Lonchura striata: one gene and its partner. The protein of the gene in region 2 purifies or fractionates together with the protein of the main gene of each other region. This does not show direct contact. Links are inferred from orthologs where the notes say so. Each region holds a gene or a part of one and is shown on either strand. Other genes may lie near its edges.

Evidence for each region.
Region 1: the proteins of FIP1L1 (region 2) and CPSF2 purify together in Homo sapiens (affinity purification with mass spectrometry; 7 studies listed by BioGRID and IntAct, with this or other methods). This does not show direct contact. The link is inferred for Lonchura striata from reciprocal best matches to the Homo sapiens genes FIP1L1 and CPSF2.

What each region holds. Positions count from the first base shown.
Region 1 is NC_134608.1:16,334,588-16,341,498, forward strand, and holds the start of CPSF2 (cleavage and polyadenylation specificity factor subunit 2), read right to left. Parts: upstream 3,089-6,911; 5' UTR 3,022-3,088; intron 2,531-3,021; 5' UTR 2,494-2,530; coding exon 2,345-2,493; intron 888-2,344; coding exon 728-887; intron 644-727; coding exon 538-643; intron 1-537. Other genes in the region: NDUFB1 (NADH dehydrogenase [ubiquinone] 1 beta subcomplex subunit 1), read left to right, coding at 4,373-4,512, 5,641-5,677; ATXN3 (ataxin-3), read left to right, coding at 6,908-6,911. UniProt on the Homo sapiens protein: Component of the cleavage and polyadenylation specificity factor (CPSF) complex that play a key role in pre-mRNA 3'-end formation, recognizing the AAUAAA signal sequence and interacting with poly(A) polymerase and other factors to bring about cleavage and poly(A) addition.
Region 2 is NC_134606.1:26,635,217-26,642,178, reverse strand, and holds the start of FIP1L1 (pre-mRNA 3'-end-processing factor FIP1), read right to left. Parts: upstream 3,037-6,962; 5' UTR 2,975-3,036; coding exon 2,893-2,974; intron 2,205-2,892; coding exon 2,165-2,204; intron 1-2,164. Other genes in the region: SCFD2 (sec1 family domain-containing protein 2), read left to right, coding at 5,336-6,071.

The sequences.
Region 1 (6,911 bases), on a different chromosome or scaffold from region 2:
TGGTGGTCAGTCTGTATGTATCTCTGTCCAAGAAGACAGTTTTTGTTTTATTCTCTTTACATTCAACACTAATGGAAAGCTGTTGAGTGTCACATGTTCCAGCAATACGCTACACTGAGTATGATCTGAGTCACTGAAGATCTCCCCATTAAATCATGCACATGCTGTAACTTCATCTCTGCAACCTGCTCTAGAAAGCCTTCCCTTGTGTTACTGGTTATAGAGAGTTCTGAGCTATCTGCTGCTAGACGTAAGTAAATACTTTTAACAGACATCAGTAAATTTCAAAAAAAGTTACAAAAACAAGAAAGAGAAACAAACACCTAAACATTCTTTGGCATGACCTCCTCTGCACTAAGTAAAAATTTTATCCATTTCTAGATACAATTGCAATTAATGCAGACTGACATAAGGCTAATGAATTCAGCACTGCAAAACACAGTATTTCAGAATTCAGTCCCTTTAAAAAAGTTACTTTAACTCTTAACTGCTCTGTTGCCTTTCACTAAAAGTAAGTTCTTGAGGTGGCAACTTTACCTTTTAAGTTCACAATCTGAGAAAACTTCAGCTGTTGTATCTTATCAAAGGCTGCATCTACATCATCCAACGTAAAGAGTGTGAAATCTTCAGTATTATGGCGGGACTAAAACAAACAAAGAGGTACAGAGCATTCAAACACTCCACCATATCACAGATGATGTGTATGAAAGTATCAACTTAAACATACCTGGTAGAGATCATACATAAACATCTGTCCCATTTTATATACAGGAATAGTTGCATAAATGGCACAATTCAATCCCATTTTTCCAACTGCATATGGAAGTGCACCAAGGTGTAGAGGGTCAGGGTGGGAAAGAAGAACAGCATCAACCTGGTGTACGTGCCTATAAAAAGAGGGCCAACAAAAGCCATTGAATGGAGCTCTGTATGGTTTTGTATATCCCCTGCTAGAGATATTTTGAGAATACATACACAATCTGAATGCCAAATAATGAAATTTAAACCCTTCAAGAACTGGGACAGTTTTAAAAATCATAATTAAAACTTACAGGTGTTTCCTAATGTTCAAGTATTTAAAAACACAAGTGACTTCAGAAAGCATAACTTTTAGATCAGAAGACATAAGTTTCACATCAAACTCCTGATAAAAAAAGACCTTAGTATATAAGTGGACACCAGAAAGTAAATTAACTGAAGGACCAAGAATATTATCAGTATAGATGTGCTACAAATTGCTTATACACCCCAAAACAGACTACAACTTTTCTTCTGATGGGAGTGAACAAGTAATAGGACCAAAGACACAACAATCTTTAAACTGATAAAGACCAAATCAAAATATATTTCTTTAAATACAGAAAAGATCAAACATATAATTTAAGAAAAGTAGCACATCAGTTTGGGGGATTTTATTACTCTTAAAAACATTTGTTTTTTCTTGCAAAGTGTTGCATAAAATTAGAACTCTGACTAAAACCTTTCTACATATCATAACTGAAAAACTTGAGAGCATAAAACACATGTAACAAATGAAAATACAAGCTGGACTGACAGTTTTTTGTTCCCTTGCATACTAAGAGGGACATACACATTCATCTCAATGGCTGTTATGATACAGGGAATTTTATCTAATTGCTTCTTAGATAAGACACTTAAAAAATTGTATAAATTATCCTCAACAATCCTCACTTAAAAGATTTCAAACATTGCAAGTGTGTCAATGCTACAAAACTAGTATCAAAAAGCTCAGTTTCCTTCCTAAATTTCCATGTTTCAGTCCTAACTTGGCAATCAGCACAGCTCCTTGTTGTACATCTGAAGAAGTTCAGTATTGAAGGCTGGGTAGATTTTGGGTTGGAGGGGTTTTTTCCCTTTGCAGGGCTAGTGTCTTGACAGAAGGTGTTTTCCTGACAGTCTATTCAACTTGAAACAAGAGCCAAGAGTTGAACTGCTTTGTATCCAGCCTACATACAGGAAGGCTTCCTCTCCCATTTAAAACTTAGTTAACTATTCTGAATTAGCTGACAGTCAAGGTCAGTCTCCCCTAAAAGGTGTCACATTTATGACAATAAAAAACAAACAAATCATATAAGCCAAAACAAAAAGTGAACAGTTTGAGAATTACAGTCAAGAGACACAACTCATTGGACTGACAAGGAAAATATCCCAAGTTTCTGCAGGAAATGTTTCAGCAGTGTGATACCCTTCATGTAAAATATACACAAAACAAAACAAAAGAACAATTTTGCATTTAGCAACACTATACCACTGCGTGGAATTTTGAAAACTTTTAAGATAGACCAAGCCCTAATTTAACAGGTGTATGAACTGAACTACTTACTTCCTCAGAGAATCAATAATATCCATAGAAAAGTTTTCATCCCAGCCACAGTCCAAAAGAAAACGAAACTCATCTACTTGCAAAAGATAGCAGAGGGCAGATTCCTCCTGCACCCCCGAGAGCGTAGTCAACTTGATAATCGATGTCATTTTCCTCTCCAAGTGTTTAATCTCCAAAAGAACTAATCTGAATGGGGGACAAAATGTTTCACTTAGATGTTATTTAGATCTAGCTTCACATATTCCTGAAAATATGCAGGCTAACGGTGTTAATACTGTTCAATACAGCTGCTAAAGTCGCAGACATTAACATTCTACTCTTGCAGGTATTAGAAAGAGGTGGGGTTAATTTTCTACAATAAATATCAAGAATAATTTTAAAAAGGATCCCTAAGAGCAGCGCGGTTAACAGCAGCTCCACGGAGCTGGATGGGGGCACCCAGAGATGGCACATCCAGGGCCGCGACCCTCCAACCCAGGCCTGCCCGACCATGGGCACAGCGCGGGCCGGGCGCCCCGCGGGGGCTCCGGGGCTCCAGCGCCCCACCGGGCCTGGCGCCCGGGCCTGGCCTCTCGCCGGGCGGGGACGGGGACACGGGGGCGAGCGGTGCGCGCACTCCAGTCCGAGACGAGGAGAACAAGGGGAAGAGGAGGATGATGATGCGAAGAAGCCGGTACCTGCCGCCCTCAACCACCCCCAGCCCGCGCCGCGCTCGCCGCCATCTTGCGGGGGCGGGGAGGCGGGGCAGCGGGCGGAAGGGTAGCGGGCGGCACCACCGCGAGCCTGCCGGGGGGAGCGCGCTCCTCCCCCGGCCCCGCGCAGCGCGTGGTCTGGCCCGGCCCGCCCGTTCCCGGTGCCCTTGGCGCGGCCGCTGCGGTCCCGCTGCGGCGCGAGCGGCGGTAATGGCGGGGTGGCGCGGGGCGGGACCGCTGTCGGGCCTGCCGGGAGCGCCTCGGCCGGGACACGGCGGCGGCGGGCGGGCGGGAGCGAGCGCCCCTCAGCCGTGGGGCTTTACGGCGGTCGGGTCCCGGGCAGGCCGGAGGCGGCTGAGCCGGGAGGTGGTGGGGCCGTGCCGCGAGTCAGCGGCCGGGCCCGGGGCGGGGGTTCCGCAGGGGTGCCCGCCTGTCCGCCTGCCTGTCCGCCTGCCTGGCCGCCCCACAGCGGCCGCGGCGCGAACGGCGGCGGAGTTCGCCCCCGGGAGCCGGCCGGGGTCCGAGCCCGCGGCTGTGTGACAGACCTCACTGCCATCCCGTGTAATTCCCTAATCTGGAAGGCTTTGGTTGGGTTGGGAAGGTTTGCTGGGCCCCTATAGTTTGGAGAGGTCTGCGAGGGGATCTCACTAATGGGTGTAAATATCTCAAAGACGGGTGCCAAACTCTTTTCGTTGGTGCCCAGCAATGGGACAAGGAGCAATAGCCATTGCTAAAACACAAGAAGTTCTGCCTCAAGACGAGGAAGAACTTCTTCAATTTGAGGGTTACAGAGCACTGGAACAGCTTTCCAGAGAGGCCGTGAAGTCTCCCTATCTGGAGACATTGAGAAACCACCAGGATGTGTTGACAGAGAGGTTGGACTGGATGATCTCCAAAGGTCCATTCCAACTGTAATGATTCTGTCATTCTGTGATTTTAGAAAAGTCCTTTCTTATCTGTCAGTCTCTGAGACTTGACGCAGATAATGAAGTCTCCTTCTACAGAAGTTTAGGTTATGAAAGTGTTTCTAATGCTTTACAGAGTAGCAAACTTCTATAGAATTGCTTTAAAGAGTAAATTAAAGAGATGTTTTATTTCTCTCCTGTTTTAGGATGAAATCCTTTTTCCCAGGGTTAACATTTAGGATTATTTCTAAGAAGGCCGGGTATGGGTTTGAGAGCAGCATGTTTCTCCCAGGAAGTGTTTGATAGCCTTCATGTATATTATGTAATTGTGGAATCCTAATAAGTGAGAGTAAAGGTGCCAAGCATGCACCAGTTTCCAAGTGCACAAGTATTAGTACCTCTTACCTCCTACACTTTTCTTTCTAGCAGTCATGGTGAATTTCGCCCAAGCTGTGCGTGAACACTGGGTTCACATCCTTGTTCCCTTAGGATTTGTGATTGGATGCTATTTGGACAGATGGAATGATGAAAGATTGTCTGCCTTCAGAAACAAGAGCTTATTATATAAAAGGTCTGCTTTATGATGCCTCTTGTATACGTATATAGTTATTATTCAAAGTGCTTCTCAGTTCTTTTTTAGTCATGATTGTAACCAAAAAAAGGGAAGAAAGGCCTAAAAATATCAAGCATTCATGAAGTGTTTTAGGTCAGTAATACCCTCTGAAAACGGAATCTTTAGAAGCTATCATCTTCATGAAAGAAAGAATCATTAACTGCTGTCAAGTTCGTGGTCATGAAATATGGAAACCATTATTTTAACTCTCTGTAACTTCAGCAGAAAACACAGTGCTTGAGTTTTTATTTTCTTTCTTAAATTTAAAATTATCACAGTGCTTTTTGACAAAATTCTTTTTATAAATGTGTGTTACTTAAAAGTAATTACCAAGTCCTTGAAAATTAACATACAACCTGCTATGTCTTCACTGAATTATGTGATTATATACACTGATGAGTTTGGGTTTTCTGGCTCTGGTTCCTCAGGGAGTATTTACATCAGAGAACTTCAGGCATTGACTCACCTGTGTCAGTTCTAATTCTGTATTAGGTCTTGAGGTTAACAAAAGAGGAGAGAAAAAAGTCATGTTGCAGAAACTGATAGTAGCTATCAGTTTTCTAGTGGATTTGTCTTTCCTCCTCTGGCCTCACCTAAATTCATTTTGAATAAGAAAGAAAGCTTTTGACATAATCCACTCCCCTGATACATTAGCACTTTTCTTAATGTATTTGTTAGTGAAGTTGGGCTGCTATGTCGGTGTCTTGTAAAAATCCCTTCTTCTTTCACATTTCTCTTTCCACTAAAGTAATGAATTGTTACATTTTAAAAAAGTAGAATTTTTCATTTTGGATCCAGTTAAAAGTCTGTTAACTACTTAGAAGTCAGCTGTTCTGTGCTTCCATTTAAATGAATGGAAATTCAGAGGACTCAATCCATTGAAGCTTTTGAAAGAAAGGAGGAAGTTTATCAGTATGGAAAGATTTTTAACTGACAGCAATTGCAAGGAAAATTAAATTTTTACATAAATCTCAAATTGAAGGTATGGTTGAATGTAAACTAACACAAATATTAATAATTATTCTAAAAATAATGATACTAATTTTAGTCTCTTCCCTCTTGTTTTTTGGGTTTTTTTCTACACAGGGAATTGAAGCCTGGTGAAGAAGTAACTTGGAAATAAAAGCTGATGATGAAAAGGAAGACATTTTTGTTTGATTCATCGTCTTACATATTGAAAGAACAGGAATATGATTTTTACCCTGAGAGGATACTACAGTAAAGGACATCTGCAGTTCATCAGTGCTAGTTTAATATCTGGTGTTACTTTTTGAAGATGATTTAATTACATGACTCATATATGTTCAGGAGTTCCATTAGTCCACAAGCATTGAGAGAATTTTCTTCCTTACTCTGGAAAGGAGAGGAAGAATTATAGAATAAACTATGCAAAAATCATTTATGTTGGTATTGCTGTGTATGGTGTGGAATCCGTGTGTTTATAGCTATTTCATGAACTAGCCTTCAAAGAAATACTTCCATAAATCCAGAATGTGTTTGACAGGTACTGAACCTGCTTAAGTTGCTTTCTGGATTGTCTCTGTAGGCTTGTTTGGAATAGTGGTTAAGCAGTTATTGAGGCTTTGTGAGCGGACCAGGAGGGTCTAAGGAGTGCGCAGCTGGTGAGCACAAGGCAGGAGCGGTGCCGGGCGCCGCTCCGCTCGGTGCGGGGGAAGCGGCGCGGGGCCGGTGCGGATAGAAGCGGCGCGGGGCCGGTGCGGATAGAAGCGGTACCGGGCCGGTGCGGATAGAAGCGGTACCGGGCAGGTGCGGATAGAAGCGGCGCGGGGCCGGTGCGGATAGAAGCGGTACCGGGCCGGTGCGGATAGAAGCGGTACCCGGCCGGTGCGGATAGAAGCGGTACCGGGCGGTGCGGATAGAAGCGGTACCGGGCCGGTGCGGATAGAAGCGGTACCGGGCCGGTGCGGATAGAAGCGGCGCGGGGCCGGTGCGGATAGAAGCGGCGCGGGGCCGGTGCGGATAGAAGCGGTCCCGGGCCGGTGCGGATAGAAGCGGTACCGGGCCGGTGCGGATAGAAGCGGTACCGGGCCGGTGCGGATAGAAGCGGTCCCGGGCCGGTGCGGATAGAAGCGGTCCCGGGCCGGTGCGGGGCCAGCCGGCAGAGGAGCGAGCCGGCGGCGGGTGTCGCTCCCCGCGGGCGCTGCTGCCGCGCGGGGGCGCTCGCGGCCAGCGACGGTTTAGCCCGCCGGCCTCCTCTCCGGCAGGGGGCGCCAGAGCGGCGGGCGGGCCGGGCGCAGCCGGCGGGGCCTGCCCTGCGCGGCCGGGGGGCGATGGGCGCTGCGATTGGCCGGGCGGGTCACGTGGGGCGGGGGCTGCGGCTGCCACAGTAAACATGG
Region 2 (6,962 bases):
TATTAAAAAAAAAACCTAGATGAATATAACTTTATATTAGAAACATTTAGCTATCATAAATCATACTAACTGGATATTTGTAGAATAGTTGGAAGCAATGACACCTGGACCTTCCTTTGAAATCAAATTGAAATACTTTGCAACATATGAAGGGAGAATAAGTTGTTTGGGTTTTTTTTCCCCTGCAGACTGACACTTTTCAAAGATATAATGGAAAAAAAAAATAAAAAACCACATTTAAACACCCACAGGTAATGTTCCACCAAAACAGAATTCCCACATCAGCATCGTAAAATTTTCTTCTACCATATGGAATAGTTACAATGCAATGATATTTTATCTGTAGATTGAGAACCATAAAATTTTTAAAACTACTGGTCCATCTAAAAGGATGAGTACTGTGACATCCATGCAAATGAGCTGTCTCACTGAGCCTATCTACAGCTGTTTCCTAGACAGTAATATTTTAATTTCCACAGTCCCATTAGCTGTTAGGATGCTGCATCACAAAAAGCAGAGTAAGCAGGGAGCCATCTAGAAACAATATTTTTTCACTGAAAAGGTTATTTCTGAAACAGAGTGTGCAATTGCCAATTTTCATTGAATAGAATGAATCTAACCCCATACTCTGTTGGCAACACACCCATTAGTGCTGCACACAATACAGCCCAGCTATTGCCTCAGGATTCCAGCTTGATCGTTTCACTTCATCACCTAGTAAAATGACAGGTACAGAACCTCAATAACACATCACCATTCCTGTATATACAAACAATGCCAAAACTGAGAGGCCAGAGACCACAACTTTTAACAGCTGAACTGTCCCCATACTTCCACAGTTCCAAACACAACTCCTAAGATGCATAAGTTAGTATTTTTTATGCTTTTTGTCCAAAACTATGCATTGCAAGACCAAAATGCCAAGCTAGACACTACTGACCAAAAACTGGAGTACACTGTTTCTAAAGATCATTTTGGCCTCCATGCAGGTAATTTTCCTAAGTAACAGTAGTAGTGACAAACACATTGGTCAAGAAAAGGTAACTGAACATAAGGAATGAACTGATATAAATAAAGCCCAAAAATGTAACAACTTCTTTGTTCTGGAAGAGAGAGGATTCAAGTCAAATGCAACAGAGGTCTAGAAACCCATTAAGTGAGATGGAAAAAGTGAAAGAAAGCAACTCTGTTTCTTATACTACAGAAATAATGGGAATCAAATAATCACACCTAGTAGCTGCTTCACAATAATATCATATATAGTCATGTCATGGAGATCATTACTGCTTTGTCATTCTGTGCTTGTTAAAGTTGATACGAGCTCAAAAGAGCAACTGAGCAGGCTTATGAACAAGCAATCCACTAAGGCTAAGCAAATGCAAGAGTTCTTACTGAAAACATGGAAAACATCTATAGAAAATAACAATGCATGTTTTATATACTGATTTTCCCTTTATTTGATTCATATACTTTGACAATCAATAATTTCTGTATTTTACAAATTATGAGAATTTCCTTCATTCAGCATGAGTGACTGATTCCCTTTTCCAGTCAGTCCTCATTACTAATCTCCATTAACTTTGTTAGTTTTCAAGGGAGCATCTTTGTGCCTTCACACAGCTCTTTGCAACTCAAGCAGGCTCCCCTCAAATATTCCAAAGCTTTCCTAAGTTTCTCTAAGTTTCTTTCAAATACTGTCTTACTAGTAAAAAAAACAACCCAAACTAACCCTGCTTTCACCTAAGCAGATCTGATCTGTACATCAAACTACCTGGTAATCTTCCACTGCTTCCTTGTATCCCTGTTTTTGCAACTACACTGAAAACTCTTCAGGAGAAAGAATATTTTTTAGTTGGTAAATTATCTCAAACAAGTCCTGATCCATCATTAAGACCACAAAGCACAATAATTAGACCTATTGGCATTTTGTAAGGGGTTACTGCTACATACAGTTAAAGTAACTTTCATACTTAACGGACCCAATTTCACAGGTATAGTCATTTCACAGAAAAGCAAAGTCCAAACATACTATCTTAAGGACATTTTTTAAGACACCAGAGCGTGTTCAGGTCCTACCAACTTTCAAGGAGCTGGGAAGAAGAATGTAGTGAACACATCTTTTGTGCAGTCATGCTACAGGGCTTTCATTTGTCAGGATACTCACCTAGATTTTTCTTCCTCTGGTCTCTCTGCTTCATTTTCATCTACCATAAGAGAAAAGAAACACAATACTTAAGAACAAAATCCCTAGGGTATCAACTGTAACAGATTATCTTGGCATGCAGAGTATTAGGTAAGTCTTCAGAGACATATTGACTATTGAGATATGTTGTTAACATTTCAACTGTGAAATCAGTCGAGTGCTCACAGTGCTCTGCACTGACAGGTCCACCACATGGACGAGGTTTAGTTTATATGTTTCATTAATATCTGAACGTAAAGATAGTCCCTAAAGTTGTACAAAAAGTTAATAAATTAAAAGTTAAGCCTCTTTCAGTATTTCAACGCCGGGAACTCGGGCAGGAGAGCATCAGGGAGGGCTCGGTGCCCGCAGGGATGCCTGTGGGGCAGGGACACCACGCGGGGCTCTCGCCGCTGAGGCCCGGCCCGGCCCGCCTCGGCCTGCGCGGCCCGGGCTGAGGGCCCGCGGCACCGGCAGCGGAGACCGGGGAAGGGACGGGGCCGGGAGCCGTCGCCCCCGGGGCGGCTGGCCGGGAAGAGAGAGGGGCCTGAGCAGCCACGGGGGCGGCGGGACTGGGGAGCCTTGTTCAGCGGCCCGGCGAGGCGGCTCACGGCGCGGCCTGCGCACCCCGCGCGGCCCCCCCGCCGCGGCGGCACGGGCCGGCCCGCCGGGGAGGCGGGCTGGGCACGGGGGTCGGGGAAGGTCCGTACCGCCATAGAGCCACTCCTCCTCCTCGTCCCCGGCGGCCCCATCGGCGTCCGCCGACAACCGCTCCGCCTCGCCGGTAGACATGGCCGCCTCCCGCGGGACGCGCGGGCCCGGCGCCGGCAGCGCCTCCCTCCGCCGGCCGCCCCGCCGCGCCGCCCCCGGGCTCCCCGGCGCCTCGGCCCGCGGCCAGGCGCTGCGCGGGCGGGCGGCCGCGAACGCCCAGCGCGGCCTCTCGCGGAGGATCCGCCGCCGCCGCCGCCCGGCGCTTCCCCTCCCCCCGCGTGAGTGACACGCACAGGAAGCGGGCCCGGCCCGGCCCTGCGGCGCCCCGGGCACGGGCTGCGGGGGGCGGCCCGGCCGGCCCGGCCCCGCGACTGCCCTCCCCGCCGAGCCGCCCGGGCTCCGTCCGTGCGCGCCCACTCACCGCGGCCGGCCTGTCGCCGCTCTCCCGGGGCGCGCTGCGAGAGCCGCCTTCCCTTCCTCTCGCTGCCGTGTGCTCTAGGTGGTCCCTGTGCTCTCCTGCGTCCCTGGACGCCCGTCCGTCCCCATAGCAGGGATCACCGGCAGCATGGCCATCTCCTGAGAACATCCTCGCCTATCGCCAGAAGCAGGACTTGGCTAAACACACGTACGCTCCAGTGCCGTGCGTCTGTGCATCTACTGGCGGCTGATGGCAGCTGCCGAGGGAGCGTAACCACGGGGTAAACACGCCGCTGCCTCTGCTAGTACTGTCCCTCGGCTCAGCAGCTATCCAAGCTGGACGTAGTATTTTAGGTTTAACAACTCCTCATAGATTTTTTTTTTTTCCTCCACAAATTTCCTGACTTTGTTTTTAGGTACAGTGAGAGTTTAACATTCATAGTATGCTGTGAATCTTTCAACGTGTTTCTGTGTTCGAAGTGTTTCTATGAATTTCACTAATTCTGTTTTAGAAGCGGTGAGGAGTAGTGAGCCATTTTTCCTGGTGATTTGCTCACTTTACATCTGTGAATGCTAGACAACACCTGCAAGGTGCATTAGAAAGGTTAAGTACCAACAACTGTCCAAATAAGTTTCGACCAGATGTGTGTACAAATGGAGCTTGTGGTGTTTCAGGATGTATGTGAAAACTAAAACAGGGGTCTGCTTTTTCACAGCAGGTCAGTTTGGGAAAAATCAGACTAGAGGACTGTAACATAAACACAACTCACAGTGAGGGGATTTTATTTTAATTGCCTACAGAGAGAAGCTTATTTGAATGTTTCATATATGGCATGACATTTCACTGGAGTTCACAAGAACAACCAACCCACTCAAATTTATTTTTCACCCCCGCAAAATTAAATGTCTGAGTATTGTGGAACAGGTAATGAATTATGTGATGTAACTGGGTAGGTTTTCATCTTGCTATTTCATTTTTGCACAAATAATTGTGGAGTCAGCAAAGGCATTTTTCACCACTGAGTCACTTATTTCTCATAAGACAAATGTGTATATGTAGTACCTCTTCATAGACATCGGTGTCTGAATTTTCATTCCTGTTATGTTTACTTTGCCACTTCACACAATAGTAGTTAACTAGCCCCCATCCTTAGTGTTCATTTCTCAAATCAAAATCGTCAAGAAGACTATTAACTTACATATTTATCTAGCATCATGAAGCTATATGCCCTATAGTTAAAATAACAGATTGGTGCTAGAAAGAAAGCACAAAGAAAGGGAAGAATGCATCTGAGTAGCAATATCAGTAGAGAACACTGAAAGGAAAGGATCTGATTTAATTACTGGAAATCTAGTGAATTCAGTGTTCCTCATGTTTTTCAGTGTCCTGAAACCATTTGAATCTGTAAGATAATTGAATCTGTAAGAGACCTAAGAACAGCAGTTAAGATGGAAGGTGAAGTAACTAAGTATTTTATCTCTTTATTAATGCTGATAATCCTGCTGTCTCAGAAAAGGTGCCTTCCTGGCTGTGCACCAAGGAGGCTGCCCAGCTGAATTCTATGTAGAGCACAGATTTGCAGGCGGGCCATCCATTTTCTGGGGAGAAGAAACTGTAGATGCTTGTTATGGCATTTTTTTTCTAGTTAGTTTTGAAACCGATTTCGAGATGATAGGCTTTTAAAGGGGGACATGGAATTAAAATAATTTGTCATACGTCTCTAACTGTACAGCGAAAAGTCGCATTTACTGAGCGAGAGTACTCCGTGTCGCCAGGTCATTCACCAAAGCACTTGCTAACCCTAGCACAGTGAGTACCCAAGAGCAGGGCAGGGGCAGCGATGAAGGTCCCTCCCGCCTCTGGGGTCCGGACACGCAGAGCGCCGTGGCAGCGGCCGTTCCCGCGGGAGCGGCCCGGCCCCCGCCAGCGCCCCGCCCCGCGCGCGCGGCCAGCCCGCGCCCGGCACGTCATCGCGCGGCGCCGGGGCGCGCCGGCACGTGCGGCGTGTTGTGGCTGTCAGCGCCATGGCGGCGCCGGAGGCGCTGCGGCAGCTCAGCCGCCGGGCCTGGGAGCCCGCGCTGGCCCGGGCGCGCCGCGCCGCCGTCCTCATGGACGCGCCCTCCGCCGAGGCGCTGCACTGGGCCGGCGGGGCGGGCGAGCTGCTGGCGGCCGGGGCGTTGGCTGTCAGCGCGTTGTCCGCCGAGGCGGCGGTGCCGGCGGGGGCGGCCCGCGTCGTGTTCGTGGTGAGCGGGACGCTGCGGGGCGGCGCGGCGGCCGCGGTGCGCGGCGTGCTGGAGCGGGGCGCCGTGCGGCACTGCTCCCTGGTGTGCGGCGACGAGGCGGACGGCGGCGCGGCGGCGGAGCTGGAGGAGACCTTGCGGCGGTGGATGGGCGAGGGCGGCCGCGCCGAGGTGGTGCTGCGCGGCCCGCCGCTCCTGGCGCCCGTCTCGGCGGAGCTCTGCCTGCTGCCCGCCCTGGCAGCGCTCCTCCCGCCGCTGCCCGGCCCCGGCGGCCCCGGCCCCGCAGAGGTTGGACTGGGTGCGCTGCCCGCCGAGCTGCGGGCGGCGGTGCGGGCCCTGGTGGGTGAGCTCGACTCTCTCTTCACCGCCCTGGGCCTGCGGGAGGAGAGCTTCGCTGTGGGGGGCCTCAGCAGGGTCGTCGCCGCTGAGCTAGCAAGCTATGCCTCAGCCAGAAACAGGAGGAGGACAGCCACCAACAAGGCCTCTGTCATCTTCGTGGACAGGACGTTGGACCTCGCCGGTAAGAAATCCTCACCTGCTACGTGCTGTCATTCTACAGGGCCCATAACTGCCCCACCGGGAGGGTGGCAGATAGTAGGAACCCTGGTGACGTGGTGTTACCAAAAATCCATATTCCACTTTGTACCGTGTCCTCCCATGTGGATATAGCTCTAATTTTGGGTCGTTGGTGGGATTGCTCTTGAGATGTGGTCTGCTAAAATACGCTTGTTCAGTGGTTACCAGGCAGTGATGGTAGAACTCTGGGCTTCTCGTGAAGCTTGGAGAAACGTGGCTGGGTTCAAAGCAGTAGTTCCTGTAAGTTCCACATCATCCTGCTTCAGTAGGAAAACTCGGTGTTGCAGCATTCTGCTGGTGATGCCGAATGTTCTCCTTTCTGTTCCAAAACAGCTATTACCGTGGGGGATATGTCTATGATAAGCTTTTGTCCTGCTGTCAGTTTCATGCTTCCTGGATTTAAAAGCCATTGCTCTCAAGCATCTAGATCATCCATTACTCTTCTTACCCAGTTGTTTGGAAAAGTATTTTACAGGCTGCTTCCATGACCCCAAACTCTGTGCCATACCCCTAGTGCCAGGTGCATCCTTTCATGCAGAAATAGATTAAATGGTTTGGTTAAGTGGTGGTCCCTGGGGGTCAGTGACCCCAAAGTCATACTTAACCACCCAATGAACTGGTGCTGGTTTCCAAGTTAGGAGAAAAGTTGACATAACTGAGCTGATTACTCTCCTGTTCTTGGTTTGTGTTTAACATGATCTTACAGAATAAGCAGTGTTTGGTTCCATTCCACAGGCTAATGGTTTGAAGAGTAATTGTATCTAGCCACCAGGTATGCAAACAGTTCTTCATCTGGCAATACTGGGAGCATGTTTCATCCCATGGCCGTGATGGT